4 linked regions of the Drosophila melanogaster genome follow. The protein of the gene in region 4 purifies or fractionates together with the protein of the main gene of each other region. This does not show direct contact. Each region holds a gene or a part of one and is shown on either strand. Other genes may lie near its edges. The genes, in order: Hrb98DE, Parg, Argk1 and Parp1.

What was found.
Region 1: the proteins of Parp1 (region 4) and Hrb98DE purify together in Drosophila melanogaster (affinity purification with western blotting; 2 studies listed by BioGRID, with this or other methods). This does not show direct contact.
Region 2: the proteins of Parp1 (region 4) and Parg purify together in Drosophila melanogaster (affinity purification with mass spectrometry, with the first as the bait; one study listed by BioGRID). This does not show direct contact.
Region 3: the proteins of Parp1 (region 4) and Argk1 purify together in Drosophila melanogaster (affinity purification with mass spectrometry, with the first as the bait; one study listed by BioGRID). This does not show direct contact.

Annotation. Positions count from the first base shown.
Region 1 is NT_033777.3:28,598,549-28,606,277, reverse strand, and holds Hrb98DE (heterogeneous nuclear ribonucleoprotein at 98DE), read right to left. Parts: upstream 5,872-7,729; 5' UTR 5,761-5,871; coding exon 5,710-5,760; intron 5,573-5,709; coding exon 5,083-5,572; intron 4,750-5,082; exon of another isoform or gene 4,610-4,749; intron 4,581-4,609; exon of another isoform or gene 4,431-4,580; intron 4,402-4,430; exon of another isoform or gene 4,262-4,401; intron 4,132-4,261; exon of another isoform or gene 3,992-4,131; intron 3,939-3,991; exon of another isoform or gene 3,789-3,938; intron 3,723-3,788; exon of another isoform or gene 3,583-3,722; intron 3,507-3,582; coding exon 3,331-3,506; intron 3,267-3,330; coding exon 2,960-3,266; intron 2,908-2,959; exon of another isoform or gene 2,756-2,907; intron 2,671-2,755; coding exon 2,597-2,670; 3' UTR 2,580-2,596; intron 2,218-2,579; exon of another isoform or gene 1,183-2,217; intron 817-1,182; 3' UTR 501-816; downstream 1-500. Other genes in the region: CG9986 (uncharacterized protein), read right to left, coding at 1-110; Noa36, read left to right, coding at 7,057-7,548, 7,641-7,729. UniProt on the Drosophila melanogaster protein: This protein is a component of ribonucleosomes.
Region 2 is NC_004354.4:3,668,334-3,673,254, reverse strand, and holds Parg (Poly(ADP-ribose) glycohydrolase), read left to right. Parts: upstream 1-1,752; 5' UTR 1,753-1,887; coding exon 1,888-2,600; intron 2,601-2,667; coding exon 2,668-4,126; 3' UTR 4,127-4,418; downstream 4,419-4,921. Other genes in the region: Ilp7 (Insulin-like peptide 7), read right to left, coding at 4,551-4,720, 4,843-4,921.
Region 3 is NT_037436.4:9,062,983-9,067,869, reverse strand, and holds the start of Argk1 (arginine kinase 1), read left to right. Parts: upstream 1-1,842; 5' UTR 1,843-2,162; intron 2,163-3,352; 5' UTR 3,353-3,362; coding exon 3,363-3,406; intron 3,407-4,887.
Region 4 is NT_033777.3:3,584,046-3,588,836, reverse strand, and holds the start of Parp1 (Poly-(ADP-ribose) polymerase 1), read left to right. Parts: upstream 1-1,782; 5' UTR 1,783-1,857; coding exon 1,858-1,971; intron 1,972-3,326; coding exon 3,327-3,468; intron 3,469-3,523; coding exon 3,524-3,857; intron 3,858-4,791. UniProt on the Drosophila melanogaster protein: Poly-ADP-ribosyltransferase that mediates poly-ADP-ribosylation of proteins and plays a key role in DNA repair.

The sequences.
Region 1 (7,729 bases), about 25 Mb from region 4:
TTTTCCTGGTCAAAGGGAAAAGTGATGTCCAGCCGGGATTCGCAGTCTTGGCCTTTATGATTTTTATACTTGTACACAAAGGGCAGCGTGCGAGTGGCAGTAGAGTCCATTTCAGAGGTCCTTAGTCGGTGTTTTAGTTAGTTATAGTCATTAATTCGCAAGTTAACGCCCCCTGCCTAAAAGAAATGCAATTAGTATGACCGTATTGCGACCGCTTAAATATATCGCAGAAAACTTATTCACCACTTAGAGAAGACTCAAACCAACAACAAAGTGACAGACACAGTGCTCATTTATCATGATTTATTATTTTCAGTGGACTAATTAAAATTTAACATTAAATGCAACAAAATGAATGCTTTGAAAATCATTCAACTATATAAAACGGAATTTGCGATTTTACGCCAATCACGTTACATTCGCAACGCCATTATTGTTCAAATACCGTTATTTTCCCCCACTGGTGAAATTTTAATTCAAAATGAAACGAAAATCATTTTGTTTGGTATTCTGAAATTTCTTTATTCAAAGATAGTAATAATGAAAATAAAATGAAGTAATAAATAAAAGTCGTATATTTACGATGGTGCAGAGGGGAAACCGTTCAACATCCATTCCATCCTCAGGTGCGACGAGCCGATTCAGACCACCTGAAAGTTACAACTTTTTCCGGATTTGGGATCTGCGGAGGATTACTTACCCAGAGGGAACCGAAACCCAGCGACCGGAGTTGCTAGCAAACGCGGGCACCTTCCGTGGCTGCATTCAGTAGCGCGGCGGCAGTCTTTCAGCGCTTCGCATACTTTTCGCAGCCAACTGGCAACAGAAATTACAATAATATACATGGTTGTAAATGACATGGTACAGCAGGCGGGGGGCAAATCAAATAAAAGGGGAAAATGATTCCTGTTAAGCGAGTGAAAGGAGAACTCTCGAACGACGTTAATGGCCCGCCCACAACAAATGCTATAGTAAAGTACATATTCTTGGCTGGCTTTTGGACCTGGTCAGACTTGCTGCACCTTGTTACCTCTGCAATACACTCTCATTCTGATCGAGATCCTTTTGCTGATGCTGCTACAGAAATATAGAAAACTACGAGGCTTTGGCTTAGCTATATACTTTTTGTTCTTTCGTCAGAGTTTACATCAATTGCGGGACACTTGCTTATTTTTTTTTTTTGCATCTTGTATTTTTTAGCTACATTAAAATGTAAATTTTGTTAAGTATAATTGCGCTGACTCCTCAGACAGACTGCTTGCTAAAAGGTATAAATTACAATAAAGGTTGTTTGTTGATCGGTTACATCTAAGCAGCGGAAGAGGTTATATCCATGTCGACACTTATTCAAAAATCTAAGTATCTAGATTCCTCCACACACGGTCAGGTTCGCTTAGAACTTGAATAGTAAAATTATTAAGACTAGGGTAGCGTGCGGATGGATGCAGAAGTCGCTCCGCACGCTCTACTCGATTTAATTCTATGAGAACTTAGCCTAGTAAAGTTGTAAAATGTAATACATGTTTTTATATATTTTGTGTTTTCTGCTCTGATTATCAAAAGTTGCCGGCAGCCGATGGACTGGAGAGCTGTCTGCAACCAAAGAAACATATCTCTCGGCTGCCGCCTTGAAGTTTTACATAGCTGATTCGTTTATGACTGGTTGTTTTAAGTAGGTTGGTTGGTTGGTTGCTCGTGTGGTGGAGATACAAATGTTTGGCCTGTCGTCGGCTTTGTGGATCTAATTACAATGTTACTTATATGGGCTGCTACATATGGGTTGCAAATTATAGATTACAATTCTGTGGGTATTGGATAGTTTTCGATGCGCCTCTTGACATTCAATTTATCATCGCTTGCAAAGACAAATTGAATGGAATCCTGGTCACCTTCTGTGTACGTGTACTGCCACTTGCTGTGTTTCTTCTGTTTAGCTCACACACTGCTCTGCACTGCACTGCACTCTGTATTGGTCTGGTCTTGCTTGGTACTGATCTCTCTTTCTGTTCTAATCCAAGACTGAACCAAACTTCTTACGACTTCACTGCACTGCACTGATCCTGATCAATCAATCTGTAATGTTTGGTTTGTGGTGCTCGGAAAACTTCTTAGGACTATGAACGTGCGTTCATACTTCATCATATTGATCATTGAATTGCGTATCGTTTACTTGACTTTGAATTTTGGGATTATACTGAGCGACTTTTACTTTATCACCTATAAAATGTCGATAAATGAGAAACGTTATTTAAAACAATTGGTATGAAAAGGAGTTCTTAATTGGTTGATGGGTTTTTGTTCTCTAAATACTTAAAAGTGTAAATACGTATATAAGTTTGTTGAGTAAGGTGGGTCGGACTGTCTCAGCCGTTTTGCTTTTTAGTCTCAATATGCTTTATAAACTACCAAAAATGCCGATAAGGGCGCTATTATAAAAAAAAAAAAACACACAACATATGTTTGTCAAATCAAGCGAAAGATTAATGGTCATACGGGATAGATAAGCGGTTAGTTATGGCCTGAATTCGCCTTGGACTATGTATATTTTTGTGTTAGTAGTGGTTATTTGGATGTCTCACCTCGTCCGGAATCTCTCTCAATATCTGCGGTTGTTGCCACCGTTATTGAAGCCCTGATTGTTTCCGCCATAGTTGCCTTGATTGCCACCGCCTAAAAGAAAACCCAGGATCGTTAGGAACATATCCAATCGTCTTTCTAGTCTAGTTTCTATACTGGTGGTGACTGTTCATGAAAAAACTGTAACGTGGCTGCGTGTTACGTCGTACTGGGATTATCTTACATACGCATAACATAGCGAAGGCCATCGTCAGTTGATCTCACAGCGTTTAATAAGCTAACTGCCAAACTCTATCGACGCTCTAACAGTTAGGTGTCAGGGTACTGTGTCTTGCTATCTAGTTGTTATCAGTAATGCATCAACAGACGTGCTGTTGCTCACCTGCTTTGAATCCACCACCTCCTTGGTAGGGCTGCATGCGATTGTTGTTGAAGTTGCCGCCACCTCGCTGCGGACCGCCGCCATAGTTCTGCTGGTAGCCTCCAAAATCATTGCCACCATTGTTCCAATTGTTGCCGCCGCCTCCAAAGTTGCCGCCTCCATTGCCATTGTCCCACGGATTGTTATTGCCCCAGCTGTTGTTGCCACCGCCATAACCACCACCGCCGCCGCCGCCACCACCGAAGCTGTTGTTGCCCCAGTTGTCGTTACCCCCGCGGTTGTTGCCCCAGTTGTTGCCACCGTTGTTCTGCAATGCCAATTAACCAGTAATAAGCCTCAAATCGAATTGATGGCGATCAATAAGTTCTTACCCAGTTGCCGCCACCATTCTGGTTGCCGTAGTTTCCACCGCCCATGTTTCCGCGGTTTCCACCGGCACGACCACCCGGACCACCGCGTCCTCCGCCACCTCCCTGTTGGTCATTCTGCTTGGGCAAGGCCTTCTTTACGTCCACCATTTTGCCATTCAGCTGATGCTGCTTTTGCACTGCAAAAATAAAGAGGGAAAGCATGCTATTAGTGGTATTCGAAAATGAACTTCCCTATGTGGTGCATCCGGAGGATAGTGTGCCATATACTCTTTCATCATTGGTGCACAAACACCACCAACAACAACAATATAATACTGGCTGGGATTTCATCTTACAGTCACAAACGCCGCACGAGCACATCGAACATTGCTATGCGGAGCTGGGACTGTGGAATTTTAGCTAAAATTAGGATCGATATCGGATAGTACACATTCACCATTTCGGTGCATTTGATTTGCAGTTGTAACGAGGCTGCGTGTTACACAGAATTGATTTATAATATACATTCGCATCACATAGCTTAGCCGACGCTTAAATTAATCTCACAGCGTTTAAATAAAAACCATACAGGCGACTTTTTCAAGCCCGTCAATTTGTCAGTACTGTGACGTCCACGAAGGGGCTGATCTAGAAACTTTCTGTTTAATCGGTTCGATAATCAAGGTGTGCCTTATACTCTTTCATCGTTGATGCACGAAGAGCACCAACAACAATGATATAATACTGGCTGGAATTTATTCTAACAGTCACAAACGCCGCACGAGCACATCGAACATTGCTGTGCGGAGCTGGGACTGTGGAATCGTAGCTAATTTTAGGAGATATATTCACGCTAAATAACATTCACCATTCTGTGGATTTGTCAGTATATTCAAGTAAGCGAAGGCATTTAGATACTCATTCTTTTCATATAGTTGGTAATTCAATGTGATATTGTGCCTTATACTCTTTCATCGTTGATGCACGAACAGCGCCAACAACACGATATAATATGGGCTGGGTCTTTTATCTTACAGTCACAAACGCCGCATGAGCACATCGAACATTGCTATGCGGAGCTGGGACTGTGTATCGATTTCCATAATAGCAATTAATTGAACTATTGTAACGAGGCTGCGTGTTACACTGAATAGGCGCAATGCTTACATTCGCATAACATAGCTTAGCCGACGCTTTAATTCATCTCACAGCGTTTAAAAAAAAACTACCCTGGTGATGGTTTCAAACCAGTTAATTTGTCAGTACTGTGATATTAGGAAACAGTTTTAGATTCAAGCTATAGTGTGCCATATACTCTTTCATCGTTGATGCACGAAGAGCACCAACAACAATGATATAATACTGGCTGGAATTTATTCTTACAGTCACAAACGCCGCACAAGCACATCGAACATTGCTATGCGGAGCTGGGACTGTGGATATATTGTAATAATTGCAATTTTATCGAAATTTCTTGCTTATAGTGCGCATTCGTTTATCCGACGCTGATGGACATTTACGAGAAGCCCTACAATGTGCCAGAGCTGATTGAGCATATAGATTAGGGGTGGTTGCATGTCATACTTTTTTTCTACACGAACGCCGCGTACACAAATGGGGTTAATATTCGTTTCCTGTGCAGATAATTCAATCTGTATTGTATAAATCTAAGAACATGGCAATGTGATTTTCCTAACAGTCTACTCTCGAAGAGATAAATCATTCTTAAAGGATATTTGATATTGTCTAGATTAGGAAAAGCGTTGTACTTACACACAACTTTGTCCACGGGATCGTAGTCGTCGAACTCGACGAAGGCGAATCCGCGTTTCTTGCCAGTCTCCTTGTCAATGACTATGTTGATGTCGACGATGTTGCCAAAGTGCTGGAAGTAGTCGCGGATGCTCTGCTCATCATGGTCGTCCTTGAGGGCGCCAACAAAGAGTTTCTTTACGGTGGCTCCGGCATTCGGGGAATCAATGTCCTGACGGGGAACGGCGCGCTTGGGCTCCACCACTCGACCGTCGATCTTGTGGGGACGCGACTTTTGGGCCTCATCAATCATGCTCGAGTGGGAATAGGTGATGAATCCGAATCCGCGGGAACGCTTTGTGCGCGGATCCTTCATGACCACCACGTCCACGATGTTGCCCCATTTCTCGAAGTGAGCCTTTAGGTTCTCGTCGGTGGTACGGTAGTCCAAGCCACCGATGAACAGCTTGCGCATATGCTCCGGCTCGGTGATGGAGTCCTGAGGAAAGTCCTAAATTATTGATTTTATCAATGGCCATAACCTCACTTTCCGCCCTTGAGACACATGCGTAATTTTCAAAATGGCGACCGGCAAGGCGAGACACCAGCTTACAGGAAATTTCTAGACCCTTAATATCCACTACTTACATCATCATGGCCATTGGAGTTGCCGTTCTGGTTCTGGTTCGAGTTCACCATTTTACTAATGCAAAAGTTGAACAACTTCTAATCTAACTATTTTTTTTGCTATTGCAAATGGAGAAAGTCCCCTGACACACGAGACGAATGAAAAAACTGAATACAGTGTGACCGTTTCTACAACCCGATTAAACCCAGCACCTATTCGATACTACCTAGAACGATAACGATAAGTTGACAGACACCCTTGTCAATACAATACTTTTACAATATCTGCCCTGTTTCTTTTCACCATGCCTTAAAAAATGTGTGTAACATGTGTATTCTTGATCACGCCTTTTGCACTAAAAAGCTAAAAGAGAAACCAATACCGACAGCATCGTACTCCCTAGCACTATTAAGATACAACTACTGTTAGTCTTAGTCTTAAGTAACAAAACCGCAACGAAATGCTTTAGCACATCAACTTTAGTTGCCGCATGGGTAAAAGCGCGTTGATCACCAAAATATATATATATTGGGATTATGGCCGAACTGAGTTTTTTCCCTGTGCAGTCGCGGTTTTGTGTGCTACTTACATCTTGCTCCTCATTTTGACCATTGTTCCAGTTGTCGTGACCACCCATTTCGAAGAACTTATATTTAAATATCTTTACTGCTCTGATATATATCTCAGCAATACTATAGAAATAACGACACTGGGAACGAAAGACGCTCACTGTAGCACCCCTTCCCTAAAACTGAAAATATATTTTCCTGTGGAAAGGAAAGCCGTAGACAGACCTTACAAAAATACTAGACCTAAATAAAAGCAAAGGTATTTGGTTACACTAATCGGTTGTTGCTTCCACTTGTTTCCACTGAAAATCTATGTGGGTCAAATTAGCGTCTATGGCAGAACGGTGAAATATGGAAAATGAGAATCTTATTTATTTATTTAATTTTTCGCTATTTATAGGTAAATTCCAAAAAAAATACAAATGCAAAAATCTTAATAAATCGAACTATTTAAGAGATCTAACTATCTATGTACGACTAAAGTTTATAGGACTCAGAAAGTATATAAAATATGCAATAAAAAAATCGGCTAGCTACTTTTCAAGGAATATCTCCACTCGCAGAGCATATTCCAAAATGCACGCTGGCCAGAAAAATGATGTGTTAAATTACTCGGCTCCGCCGTCGCCGCTAACTCCACGATGCTAATTTAACGCATTTTTTGTAGCTATTTTCAAGATGTAGCTACATATTTAGCGGAATATTCGAAAGCTTTTTGTGGTATTTTTCGGCGCACCCGCAGCAGCCACACTGCCGCACACGTAAGGAAATAAGTTTTCTAATTCCTTGATTTCAAAAATGCCGAAAAAGAAGACTGGGCAGCGTAAGAAGGCCGAGAAGCAGAAGCTTCGCCTCAAGGAGATCCGCAGCAGAGAGGTGCCTCTTGCGGATTTGCCCTGCAATGCACCAATGGAGTGCGACAAGTGCGAGAAGAAGCAGAAGTCGAGAGCCTTCTGCTATTTCTGCCAGAGCATTCAGAGATTACCCATTTGCGCCCAGTGCGGGAAAATCAAGTGCATGCTAAAGACCGGCGACTGCGTGGTCAAACATCCGGGCGTCTACACCACGGGCCTCGGAATGGTGGGCGCCATCTGCGACTTCTGCGAGGCTTGGGTTTGCCACGGACGCAAGTGTCTCCAAAACCACGCCTGCACGTGTCCGCTGCAGAATGCGACCTGCCTGGAGTGCGAACGCGGTGTCTGGGAGCACGGTGGGCGCATCTTCAAGTGCTCCTTCTGCAACGGATTCCTGTGCGAGGACGATCAGTTCGAGCACCAGGCCAGCTGTCAGGTGGGTAACCAAAAATACTCATTAAGCTTGTTCCGAACTTCATTTTGAGATTCATATGACGCCTTTTGGTAATGCAATCCATTCGGTTCCAGGTGCTGGAGTCGGAGAACTACAAGTGTCAATCGTGCAACAAGCTGGGTCAATACTCCTGCCTGCGCTGCAAGACCTGTTACTGCGAGGA
Region 2 (4,921 bases), on a different chromosome or scaffold from region 4:
ATTCGGATACAAAAATGAATTATTTCTTTAAAATCTGTATATTAATTAATAAAGAACAGAAATTTCCACAAATATGTAAATTGAATTTTCAAATTGGTTTGGTTCCCTCGTTTTGTTTAATTTCTGAAACTGACTCATGGAAGTGCAGTCTTCTGCTTCTTTCAGCTGTTGATTAGTATAAGTTCATGCTTTTGAGGTGACCTTGAAAAGTTTACTAACATCGCGTTTTCGTCGCTCGCTTTTTCCAAGCGATTATTCGGCTCTATGCATTTTTGTTGTTGCTTGTTTTTTTTGCCAACCCCCGAAACGCCACCCCCGATTATTCCTAGTATTTTCGCTGACGCAAATGAGAAAAGAGAAAGCTCTACATGTACAGTGCAGACTCCCATTGCGTTAAAGTTCATCAACGAAATCTAAATGCTCGGGATTTACACCTTTTTCTGAAAATTTATTTAGTAAAATAAATTTCACTTAATATCTGGTCTCTTTCTCTCTCTATCTCTTTATGTGAAAATCGATCGTTTAACTTATTGAGAGTTGACAGTACTTTTTTCGAGTATTTCTAGGTTATGGTCAAGGCGAAATCTAAGCAAATTTGAAGGCTACGCTCAGGTACGAAGAGCGATGAAGAGAAACGCCTCTTCTTTGTAGAATTCTACTGATAATTCGATTTTTGTTTTTGTGTTTTTTTTTTTTGCTTCTCCTTGCAAAGCTTTTTCGTTTGTTTACGCAAAAAGGAGAGAAAGAGATGGTGCAAACAAATTTCGCGGAGAGATAAAGGTGTGTTGAACTTTAGCAAAAGTACATTTCATAAATTATATTTATTTTGGTTTTTAGCTAGCTGTGAATTTGCTTTTGCGTTTTCCTCAGATGCAAGTGTGTGTGCAAATTATGTATGACCTTTTTTGTATTGTTTTTGCGACGCTTTCAAAACAAACAACTGCGCTCTCTCTCTCTCCCTCTCTCGCTCTCTTGTGTCCATTCTCAGAGTCTTTGCACGTGTATGCAGCGGTTTCTCTTCCTCTTTTCAACACGTAAGCTTGAGCAAAATACCACAATCACATAAATATATACATAGGTGCGAGTGACAGTGCCACATTAAGGGTTAAAAACTGAAAAAATTTGATTTGACCACTGACGTCAACGAAATAACATTTTCTTGCCAAACGTGATTATAAAAACATAAAACAGCAATTACTTTCCGCCGCTTCTTACCTTTTTGAGTATTAAATACATTTATAAAAGTTTCGCAGACGCCTTTAACTTGATTTTCCTTGGTAATATGCACTATTATTTTTACCGCACGAAGGACAGGAAAAAATCCTTTCACTTAACGTAAAACTTGGCGCTCGTTATGATAGTTTTACACTTTAAAAAAAAATTAGAGAAAATAGTTGACAAATTGCTGGAAGATTTGTTTTTTTTTTCTTTTTGTTTGTTGTTGTTCCTTCGGCGGTTATATTTGCAATTCGCATTGCAACGGACACAGTGTTGGTATTTCTCGTGCTGGTATTTAAATACTAGCGACAATGAGAGGTAAAATACCACATGTAATGGTCACACTTTCGCCCGCCGAATTCAAGGCAATGCAATTTTGAATTTGTTATTGATTCATTCTCAAACGAATACCAACATATATTTGAATATATTTCGATATATAAACGCTTCAATTCACTACGCTTCAATCGAAGTGTGTGGTATTTATAAAGTGCGATATTCATCACAGCTATCGCTCATCCCCAAAACACCGGTATGCAAGAATTCAGGTCACACTTGATTTTTCCGATATTCCAAAAGGTTTACCAATCTACGGCAAATCGCCGCAGAGCAAGTGCATCCGTGCTGACCAATCGACTCGGCAAGGCTTTGTGCTTAAACTGCGCCAGGATGTCGAAGTCGCCGGATGGCGGGATTTCCGAAATAGAAACGGAGGAGGAGCCGGAAAATCTGGCGAACTCCCTAGATGATTCGTGGCGTGGAGTTTCCATGGAGGCTATACATCGTAATCGGCAGCCTTTCGAATTGGAGAATTTGCCACCAGTGACTGCCGGCAATCTCCACCGGGTTATGTACCAGCTGCCAATTCGTGAAACACCGCCACGCCCCTACAAATCACCGGGAAAGTGGGACTCCGAGCATGTGCGTCTGCCCTGTGCGCCCGAGTCGAAATATCCGAGGGAGAATCCGGATGGCAGCACCACCATCGATTTTCGCTGGGAAATGATCGAACGAGCCCTTCTGCAGCCCATAAAGACGTGTGAGGAACTGCAGGCGGCGATAATATCATATAATACCACCTATAGGGATCAGTGGCACTTTCGTGCCCTTCATCAACTTCTCGACGAGGAACTGGACGAGAGCGAAACACGGGTTTTCTTCGAGGATCTATTGCCGCGCATTATCCGATTGGCATTGCGGCTACCGGACTTGATTCAATCGCCAGTTCCGCTGCTCAAGCACCACAAGAACGCCTCATTGAGCCTGAGCCAACAGCAGATCTCCTGCCTGTTGGCCAATGCCTTCCTGTGCACCTTTCCCCGGAGAAACACCCTCAAGAGGAAGTCCGAGTACAGCACTTTTCCAGACATCAACTTTAACAGGTGAGCGTCCACCAGATTCGTATATCTTCAGTCGAAGTATGTTAAATATATTCGATTCCATCAAAAGGCTTTACCAATCGACGGGACCGGCAGTTCTGGAGAAGCTTAAATGCATTATGCACTATTTTCGTCGCGTGTGTCCCACAGAGCGGGATGCCAGCAATGTGCCCACCGGTGTGGTAACCTTTGTTCGTCGGAGCGGATTGCCGGAACATCTGATCGACTGGAGCCAAAGTGCGGCGCCGTTGGGTGATGTGCCATTGCACGTGGATGCCGAGGGAACAATCGAGGATGAGGGCATTGGACTGCTGCAAGTAGACTTTGCCAACAAATATTTGGGTGGCGGTGTCTTGGGACATGGCTGCGTTCAGGAGGAGATACGCTTTGTTATCTGTCCGGAGCTATTGGTGGGTAAACTCTTTACGGAGTGTCTGCGACCATTCGAGGCCCTGGTGATGTTGGGCGCCGAAAGGTATAGTAACTATACGGGATATGCCGGAAGCTTCGAGTGGTCCGGCAACTTTGAGGATTCAACGCCAAGAGATAGCTCAGGTCGTCGACAAACGGCCATTGTGGCAATCGATGCCCTACATTTTGCCCAGTCACATCATCAATATCGCGAGGATCTCATGGAAAGGGAGCTGAACAAGGCGTACATTGGATTTGTTCACTGGATGGTGACGCCGCCACCGGGTGTGGCAACTGGTAACTGGGGTTGCGGCGCATTCGGCGGTGACTCCTATCTGAAAGCCCTGCTGCAACTTATGGTCTGCGCCCAGTTGGGCAGACCTTTGGCCTACTATACCTTTGGAAATGTGGAGTTTAGGGATGATTTTCATGAAATGTGGCTGTTGTTTCGAAATGACGGGACTACGGTGCAGCAGCTTTGGAGTATTTTAAGGTCGTACAGTAGGCTTATTAAGGAGAAGAGCTCCAAGGAGCCGCGTGAGAATAAGGCATCCAAAAAGAAGCTATATGATTTTATTAAAGAGGAACTTAAGAAGGTCAGAGATGTGCCCGGAGAGGGAGCATCCGCCGAAGCTGGAAGCTCTAGAGTAGCTGGATTAGGCGAAGGAAAATCAGAAACATCAGCGAAATCCTCGCCAGAACTCAACAAGCAACCCGCCCGACCGCAAATCACCATAACGCAACAAAGTACCGATCTATTGCCCGCGCAATTATCGCAAGATAACTCAAATTCTTCGGAAGATCAGGCCCTTCTTATGCTGTCGGACGATGAGGAGGCCAATGCCATGATGGAGGCCGCTAGTCTGGAGGCTAAAAGCAGCGTAGAAATAAGCAACAGCAGCACAACGTCCAAAACGAGCAGTACAGCCACGAAATCAATGGGTTCAGGTGGCCGCCAGTTGAGCCTGCTCGAGATGCTGGACACCCATTATGAAAAGGGTTCGGCCTCGAAGAGGCCACGAAAATCACCCAACTGCAGCAAGGCTGAGGGTTCAGCAAAGAGTCGTAAGGAGATCGATGTGACCGACAAGGACGAAAAGGACGATATTGTTGACTAGGTGATATTGCACTACAGGATTGTTACTGCCCCCAAAATTGAAGAGGTATAAAATGTATTGTAGATAACTTTAAGGACATATTTAGGGCATTTTAAAGTAGGATCATTGTAAGTCGAATAAAGTGAAATTTTTTTTTTTTTTTTAATTATACTATTCTAATCTGCAAAGACAATTTTACTGTTAAATTTGTATAACATTGATTGATTAATATAATTTGTTATATCATGCAAATCTAGCTTTTATTATGCGAAATTTGTAGTTAAAGCCAGTAAAGTTTCTTTTTATTTAACCGAAACCTTTTGTTTATTTTATTTGACCACAACAAGAACATCAACAACAACAACCACGAAAAAAAAAGCGAATATATATTTGTTTGTTCGTATATATATATATATATCTAAGCAGATCCAACGTCGATGGCCAATCAGTAGTGATTGCGTCGCTTGTTGGATGGACAATACTCGGCGTATTCCTCCCAGGTGCAGCCCGCCTTGGTGCAGCATTCGTTCGATATCGATGGAGTGTTTCCATCCGATCGACGACTTCGCAGAAACATGTTGGCATAGTTCACGTGCAGCCAGGTGGAGCCATCAGCTGGAAAGACAGCAGGTGGTATCATATCGATATCAATGGATCTATAGCATAGATGTACATGTGTACATCGCTTGAAATTCCAATCGTCTTTGGTTGGAATGGATTTCGATTCAACAACTTACGTTCCGTGGTTGTCTTCTTGATCCAAGCCTCATCATTGCCCGTCCTCTTTTTGTTGCGCCGTGTCAGTCGGTAAATGTC
Region 3 (4,887 bases), on a different chromosome or scaffold from region 4:
CAAAAGTGAAGAAAGCTGTGATACAACAAGATCCAACAAAAAGGGCAAACGACAACCGACAACACACAAAGATAACACCAACACATTAAACTACAAAAACAACAGACAAGCCAATTCGAAACGTGTGCGACCAACAAAAGTATGTTAACAACCTTTCCGGAACTAAGAACCAGTATAAGTACCGACCGGACCATCTGAAATGAAATGGCCAACGAGAAGAATTCAAAATGAACTATAGGAGATCGGATCAGATCCAGTAGTAGCTAGCTTAGCGGGTTAACGAAGGACGAACGCGGGGGAACCAAAGTTTTGAACCGAAGTGTTTGAGTGAATCAACAGCGTGCGGAATTAGATTGATATTCCAGTCAGGATGAAAAGTGAAGATGAGAATGATTCAAATGTTAAATTATATATCGATATGTAGTAAAATAATACACATACAAAATGCACATAGCTTAAAATATATGAAAGCAAGCGTTTTATTCAAAGTCAATTTCCATTTGATTTGCAATGATTATGTTTTGTGCAAGATTTTAAAGCTTAATCAACCGAGGCCAACAGCAGTTTGTGTGGCATATGCAATATCATTACAATGTAAGACAACCAAGATATATAAACCAATTAAAGCGTAGCAAACAAAATGCATTCAATTGAAAAACCAATAAAAAATGTTTGAAACTTAAATCAAAATTGTGCTCCTAATTATTTACGGAAGGGGCTCGAAAGTTATCCTTTTCAAGTGCTTTAATCTTTATTTTCGTTGCATACTTCATGGGTTGTGTTATACAATATTTAGTGCTGTAGGCCGAAGGTAGCCGATTAAAAGTACATAATTCGTGATAATAAAAACTTTTTGTCAACAAAAACAGAACACCCACACTCGCAGGAACTTCCGCTGAGCAACGCAAGCGCTCCAGGATGTTTTCGAGCTTTTCTCAGTCCTTGAACTTTTGACCTTGTTTCTGGTCGCCTTTCTCGCTGCCGCGGTTATGTAAGCAGCTGTACGTATCATTATGCAACCTGGTCCACGGGATTCACGGACTCTGTGCGCTTGCCATTGCATCTTTGCCGTTGCAGTGGCTCTCAAACTGCAGAGTCTTCGGCGAGCGATAAGACCCCAATCATCATCACCCAGGCCAATTAAGTGGGCTTTGCAAAATAGATAGCGCTGTTGAATGAATGACTGAACAGTACGCTCGAGTTTATTATCTGGATTTATTTGCCCACGACAGACAACCGGCGAAAGGCGTCAGCAGCGCTTTTTCGACCAAATTTGATAGTTTTGGCCTGGGCCAAACGCTGCAGTAAGCAAAATAAATAGTAAACATTGAACTGATAGTGCCAATTGGAAAAGTGACTCGTCCAGTGCCCAAAAACTGTTTCCGAAAATTCTTTTCTTTTATTGATTAGGCAGCCTTTTGACCAGGTTCAACGCGATTATTGACACATAGCGGTGGCATAGCGTAAGCCTATGAGTAACATTCCGAATCGGAGAGTACACGGAAATAAATATTGAAATCGTGCACAGAGAAAAATAATTAATTAGTTACAGAAAATTCATAGATTTACTATTAGTTATTACTACATTGAAATATCTACATTTAATTATTTGCTAGTGTCCTCTAATAAATATGTATATCCTTTATAGTAGTTAACTCTGAACCCTCTCTGTTGGAATCTGATTAAAGTCTTCTAAGTTTTTTTCGGGTGTACCTGGCACAGAACCCGTGGGTTCGTTGGGAAACGAATCTCGTGAGAAAAGCTTCGTCGCAAGTGCAGCCACAGCTAGGAAACATTGGCGTCGGCGCTCTCCGTGCTCCCCATTCTCTTTGGGGCTCTCTCAGTTGGATGCCGTCGTAGCCGTAGTCTCGTCGCTTTTGCCGCCAGTAGAGCAGTCGATTTTCGCACGGAGCACGACAGTCGAAAAAAACTTGAAAGAAGCATTCAACAGCAGAAGAGTGCCAGTCGAGAGAAAATTAATTTTGTACCTTTACTCAAAATCAAACAACACACAATCGAGACCAGTCCTCGATATTTGACCAGCTGTGAAGCATTTAAACGAAACGAACCTTTTGATATACGAAAAAATCGAACGGAAAACCCTCCGGAAAAGCACTTGCAACTTTTTCTAGTCGTTTTATTATCCAACACAGGCACAAAAGGTGAGTGCACGCAGAAGGGGTCATGCTGCAAGTCCCCAGTTGTTTGTTATGTGTGGCATGCTGCAACAGTGAATGAGTGTTATGGGAATGAGTGTTCTTAGGCACCACCACCCACCCATTTTCCACGCCCCAGCCACCCACTCATACGTTTGCCGTGCGATGTGACGTAACTGTCAGAGTCTGAGTGTGCTATTACCATCGCAGATTGCTCATACGCCGCGTGTGCAAAAGAAAACAAACGCAGACGGAGCTTCATGGTGAATTTTGCTTGCCTTTGCTCAAATCCGAGGGATAAACAAAGCTCAGGGGACTGCAAACAGTGCGCAAAATAATCATATTTAATTGATCGATGGCAGCACTATCTAAATTTAGAACCCTTTCGACCATTGGGCGCCATCCGGTGCACAAAAAGTTCCCCTTTTTCCGAATTGATCTGCAGTGCACAGAGGAAAATTTGCAATTTGTTTGCTTGTGAGAATACATATTAAATGTTATGACATATCTTAAAAATAAACTTTGCAAACCAAATACTAGGCAGGTGCCTCAAATATTTCATATAAAGAAACTTTCATTTATAACTTTTTAATTGAGGCAAACTTTAATAATGTTGGCGTTAGTAGGCTTCAATTGGGGAGGAGTTTAAATAAGAAATTCAGAAATTCAGAAATCAAATTTATGACAAAACATTTTCATTTTCCCATTTATGAGGTTTTTTCTGTGTACTGTTTCCCATCTCTGGCCGTTTGCCCAAAAGTCTCGACTTCACGTGCCTCGGCGCTCAGCGTTCTGCGAATTTGGCATTCTGCATTTTGCATTTGCAAACCCATGCGCGCTTTTGTTTATAAATAAACCTTGAATAATGCCGGCATATATTCACTGCTGTCTTTTCGCCTGTTCAACTGTTTTTTTATCTGTGTGCCTTGGGTCTTAATTGAGCTCTGGCTCTCTGGAACTTACTTTTCTGATGAGCGCCTCGCTCGATTGAGTTTTTTTTTTTTGCATTGCTTGACGGCGACGTCATTTGTTGCGCTTTTCGAGGTCGCTGGGTGAATCAGATTCAGTGCCAGTCCAACAAGTGCATGTGGTGTGGAAATTGCCATTTATAGTCCAATTAATTCGTATACATTAGCGGTCAAATTGCTTTGAAAATCACTTAACTATTTACTCATTCGATCTTCTCTCAATTTCAGCTAATACAAAATGTTCGCTTTGTGGTATTTAACTTTTGCTGTCGATGAAATACGGTAAGTGCAAAAGGGGTTTTCCACAGTTTGGCAAGCACTGCTGTGCCCCCCACAGGGCGGATGAACGTTTTGTGTTGCCTACTTTTCGGCTGGGTAGTGTTAATGGTGAATTGTAGTTTGGGGGCGTAATGAGATCCTTTTTGGAGTTAAGCTTAAAAATATTCTGCAATTCAGAAAAAGGTCTAAGTACGTTTTAAATGAAAAGTTTCTGGTATGTGATTCGAGCTTTGGGGGATTGGGTAATACAAATAAATTTACTGGCTTTTAATGGTTATGCAATGCTAATAACAACACCTTCACCAAGCAAAGCTACTTTCTTGCATTTCATAAATCTTGGCGATAACAGTAGTCGCACTTTTGGGACGCAATCATTGCAAACCCGATAATCTTATCGCTATCAGTTGTTGAATTAGACCAATTTAGCTCTACGTTTCCGTGATCGTTATGGTTCGAAGGTGCTAATGCGACTGTGTGTATAATTTTCCTGCATTTGGCAAGAAAGTTAGTCACCGAGCGGTGTCACATGATGAACTATCTGTCCGTTTTCCCATCTCCCACTCCCCCGATCTCGTCGAATACCCCAGCCCATAACAACCGGCTTTTGTGGCTCTAACTCTCATTCGTGATAAGTGCAATCGGCTGATCGCACACATTCAAACATTCTCTGATTTGCACATGTGCAAAACAAAATTCGCATTTTTTTGGCAAAAAAATAAAGAAAAAAGCGTCCAGTTGTTATCTGCCGGCAATTAGCGTAATAACAAAAGTGATAATTGAAGTTTGGAGCGGTATTAGTTTTTTTCGTTCTCATCCATACAGCCGGCATTTGGGGCCGGTATTTTGCCGATTTGCCGATTTTATGCCGGGTGGAGCTCGTTTGTTTGCTTATCAATTTGCCGCACGAGTTTTTCGTCAGCTATTGCCGTTTTGGCCTACGTGACAAGAGAAATGACGACGCCGGCCCAAAGAAATGGGGGAGTGGAGAAAGTAATTTCGTAACTGGGGAAATGGGTGGGAAATAAGAAATTGTGGTTACAGTTCTAAATTACTGCCATTTGTGGGCATTAAAGCACTGAAACATTTGCGTCTAAGCAACACGCCCACCAATAGGCTAACGCCTTTTGGCAAAGTACAATAAATAACTGGCTCTATTTTGTTTTCTTATCTATAGGGCATTATAAAAGAACTATGATTAACTCTATAACAAAAGCTAGAAAGTGCAGTATTTTCATACTTTTCAAATTTAAATCAATTTCAAAAACCAGGGCTGCCTTAGATCCTTCCAGTGTGACTCTACGAACTACTAAAAGGCTTCATTTACTTTTAATTATATTAAAATGCATATGATTTACTGCAATTACTGCATATTGAAAAATCGTTATTTGCGACTATATTTGTTTTCAAATATTTATCGAAATGTTATGGAGTATAGGGATACACCAATGATTTACAAGGGCTGTCAAAGTTTTCAATGCACTAAG
Region 4 (4,791 bases):
ACAAAAATAAATTTCAAAAATGACTTTATATAAGAATATTTGTCATTAGAGTATTCATCTTGCGGCGTGTGAAAAATTAATAAGGCAATGATTGTTGAGTGCTTGTGTCCGCACTTCGTGCCTCAAGATATGAACAAAGCAAAGACACTAGAATAATTCTAGTGTCTTTGATGTGACTTTTGCAATAAACAGTTTTCATATTTTTATTTATTTTACAAATTTGTATTTTCTACTTCGTATTATTTTTATGAAATATTTATTTCTCGATGTAATGTATTCCTTTTGTTATAAGTAGTTATAATAATTTATATTTTACTTCCTTTAATTATTTAGCATACTTATTAAGTCATTTGACTTAATATGATTTATATATGATAATGATCCATTTTTATTATTTAAAATGCACATTAGATTCAGTTGTTTTTCAGTATGTTATTTAAATAACTGACGACTGAAAAATCGAGCAGTATATAATAAAAAACAATAGTTAGAAAAATAACTTAATTGGGGAATGTGGAAATGTTTTAATGTTAAACATTAAAATATTTCAAGTCGACTCGAAGGTCATATACGTAAATATAAGACCCCATTACAATTGTAATGGCCTCCCCGTGGTGTTCCCTGGGTACCGACTATTACACATATTACACATAAATAATTATCAACATAAATATAAATATGTAAACGGTAGCTAATTCGAGCGGCGATTTTAACAAACGAATTTAAAAAGCTTTAAAATTAAAAAATTTTAAAATTAAAATTAAAATTTTAAAATTATAATAAGAAGGGCGCGAATTTTTAAAAATTATTTTATTTCATCATATTGCTACGAAATTGGCAAAAAACTACCCTAATATGTACAATGTAAATTCATTTCTTTGATCAGAATTGATTTCGGCCCGAAAATCGTCTTCTAGCACAACACGCACACATATACGCGTTCTCGTCTCTTGTTTTTACTCACACAAGCAAGCAAATTCTATTTTTAGATTTCTTATGTTCTCAGCGTGAGCGAGCGGAAAGAGAGCAATTTTGGCCGTCACCAAAAAAGTGGCTGCATAGTGCCAAACCAATGTATGGCCGTTACGCATCTTGTTATTCTAGTGTCTTTGCCAAAACTAATGGTTGGGGGAGTGGCATATCCATAAGTCCATTAGACTTAAGCACATGCCTACACACAGCTTCTTATTATAGAAGAACAACACTAGTAAACCAAAAGCAATCCTGACTGGAATAAGCCCAAAGTCGTATACAGGATGATAATCGAAAACTTTATTTTAAGATTTCAATAAACAAAGTCGTGAGGATCTAAGAGCGTTTGTATCCAATAGCGAATGAACTCGAGTCCAAGAGAAATGCAAAGACAAATCAATGTTAGTAACTCCAAAGCTCTGTTTATTTCATTGGAACTCCAAAATCCAAAGCCCATATTTATAAAGCTCGAGGCCGAGGATTCAAAGTCAATCAATCCATATCAATTTGTTGAGTTCAGTTTCAGACCTTAATTAAAACGGTCGGTGTTATTATTCAGTAAGAACATAATTACCATTCCTTCTTAATCTTCCAAATGACCACCCTTTCTTGTTAAACTAGCTGGTGTATAATCGACACAGAATTTTAATGTTGCCGAATTCAATTACAAAGTTATATAGTTAACAGTCGTACGTCTTATAACAGAATACAGCTTAATTACGGAATGAGCTCCTGTACAAGGTCTTTAGAATCATTGGAAATCGTCTATAATAATATTTTTGTAGTCTTTAACATCGATATACAATTTTATTATTTAGGAAAATATCGCCAACATAATTCGATAAATAATAAATGTCTTGAAATTGACTTCCTTTAAAGTGTAATATGGATATTGAATTACCTTATCTTGCTGAGTATGCAAGAACTGGACGAGCCACTTGCAAAGGATGTAAAAGTACTATATCTAAAGATACTCTTCGGATTGCTGTCATGGTTCAAGTAAGTTACTATGTGGTACATACATACGTAAGTAGTCTGCAGATAAAAGATTGAAAATGAATTTGATTAAACTGATACTGATTTACGAAACTTTAAAAGATCCCGATTCGCCGTTAGTCCCATCGGTCGTCGACAGCTGCGGCATGTAATTGCCAGCGGTAAATCGTGTAGCGGTGGGGGCACAAATACTTGCGTCGCTCACCCACAGGGTGCCAGTGGCTTGCTGCAGTTCTCTGGCCCAGTGTGCGTGTGGCAATGCGTGCGGCCGAAGAAACGAAAACAGGTCCTCAAACATCACGTGAAATCGAAACTAGCGGGAACGACAGCGGGACTGACATTGGTACTGACAGTGGGACCGACATTGGGACCGACAGTGGGTCCGACATTGGGACCGACAGTGGGACCGACAGCGGGACTGACGGTGAGACCGACAGCGGGACTGACGGTGGGACCGACAGTGGGACTGACAGCGGGACCGACAGTGGGACCGACAGCGGGACTGACGTGGGACCGACAGTGGGATTAACAGTGGGACCGACAGCGGGACTGACAGTCGGACCAACAGTGGGACTGACAGTGGGACCGACAGCGGGACCGACAGTGGGACCGACCCTTCATTTCTTCTACCGTCACGCTTCAACCTATAAAAATGTTGCTTGTGAGTCGCTCACCCAAAGGGTTATTTCGCAGCAGGCGAAACACTCGGATATTTTTTATTGCCGAAAGTAGAGTGTCAAAAAACACCCGGGGGTATAGACACCCAGTTGGTGGGTGCGGGTGTACTAAGAGTGCCAGTGGCTTGCTGCAGTTCTGTGGTTGGGGCCGCAAAAATTGTAAGACCAGCTGAATTTTCGCCATGTCCTCACATGGTGATGATCGTTCTGAAACAAACTTTCACAGAGCGAAACATGAATACTAGCTTTTATAGTTTTCGAGATCATAGCTTTCATACAAAAGGACAAGGCCAATCAAGAATACCATGTCCGTCTGTCTGTCCGTATGAACGTCGAGATATCAGGAACTATAAAATCTAGAAGGTTGAGATTTAGCATACAGATTCTAGAGACATAGATGCAGCATGACCCATGTTGCCACGGCAACTCTAACGCCCACAAACCGCACAAAACTGCAACGCCAACCCTTTTGAAAAACGTGTTGATATTTTTTTTTTTCATTTTTATTAGTTCTGTAAATTTCTATCGACTTGCCACGCCCACTTTAAAGCCCTAAAATTGCACAAAACTGCCACGCACACACTTTTGAAAAATCGTTTTATTATTATTTTTTAATTGAAACGGTTACACCAAACGAACGAAAGACAAAGAAACTATTTTATTGTATTTCTTATTTTTTAGTCTGCATTTCATGATGCCAAAGTTCCGAATTGGTTTCATAAAACCTGCTTTTTTAAAAACCAGCGTCCCAGCTCAGTAGGAGACATACAAAACATTGGAAATCTCCGATTTGCCGATCAAAAGGAATTAACGGATCTTGTGGGTTAGTATTTAAAATTGATCTATATCAATTTAAAAACATTTTGAAATGTACTTAGAAAATATACAAGAAGTTATAAGCGCACAATTAGGAAAAAAGCGATCGAAGGCTTTTAACTTAGCATTAAAAGACTTTGGGATTGAATATGCAAAATCTAGTCGATCGACGTGTCGTGGATGTGAACAAAAAATAAACAAGGATCTAGTTCGCTTACGTAAAACTGTTTATGATACTGAAGTTGGTATGAAGTACGGAGGCCAACCTTTGTGGCATCATTTGGAATGCTTCGCCCAATTGCGCTCTGAGCTTGGCTGGTTTGCGTCAGGTGAAGATATGCCAGGATTTCAGAGCTTAGCAGATGATGATCAAGCGAAAGTTAAAAACGCCATACCGTAAGTTAATCTCACATTGAATTTCTATTAACTGTTCTGTAACTGTTCTGCATTGCTATTATTAAGTTATCCCTCTTAAAGAAAATAAGCTTGATTATACTGAAGATTGTAAACTGAAATAGATAACTGTAATTTGATCCACTAAGTATTCTGATCTCTTCTTGGTCATTCCTTAGTTGGGGATGCCCTTCAACTATATAGGTACAATAGTGTATATTCTTTGTTAAAAAATATTTATCAGGTAAAGGCAACATTTCCGGCACTAAAAAAATTAAATAATCGATCCCACCCTAAAAGATAAGACTCGAATTGTCCATGTCCGTATGAACGATGTGATTGTGGGAACTATAAAACTGGGTTGCGATTAAACATGCAGATCCGAGTGAAGCGGGCATATCAAAAGTTTTTTGACAATTGTAGATTGTAGAGGAAATCAACTATAACTTCGCCTGTAGTTTGTCGAAAAGTCAAGTGAATTTAACAATGTTATTTAATATATGTAAGTCGACCTTAATCGATGGGCATTGGTTGTATCGCCGCAGGAAAATAATGTAACTATTTTTCGCTATATTTAGGCTGGGTCGTGATTATTTGAGCGTAAATGTAACAGCTGAGTTAAAATTATACTGGAAAGGTACATACACTAGTGGGCATAAGTATTTAGACACCATTAGCTTGAAACTGCCGGGCTTTTCATAGTACAGTCAAATAAATAAGTAAACTATTGATGATAAAACAAAAAGTGCAATTACAGTTACACACGAAGGGTAAGTTTGGCTGTTTACCTTTTCAATTATCCTTGTGCTTATAAGAAAGCTAGACAGGCAACGATTTGGGCCGTGGCAAAAGTATTTAGACACATTTAATTAGTTCGCATTGATCTGTTGTTCGAAGAATATCAAATTTTCGACTTTTTTTTTAGATCATTTGAACA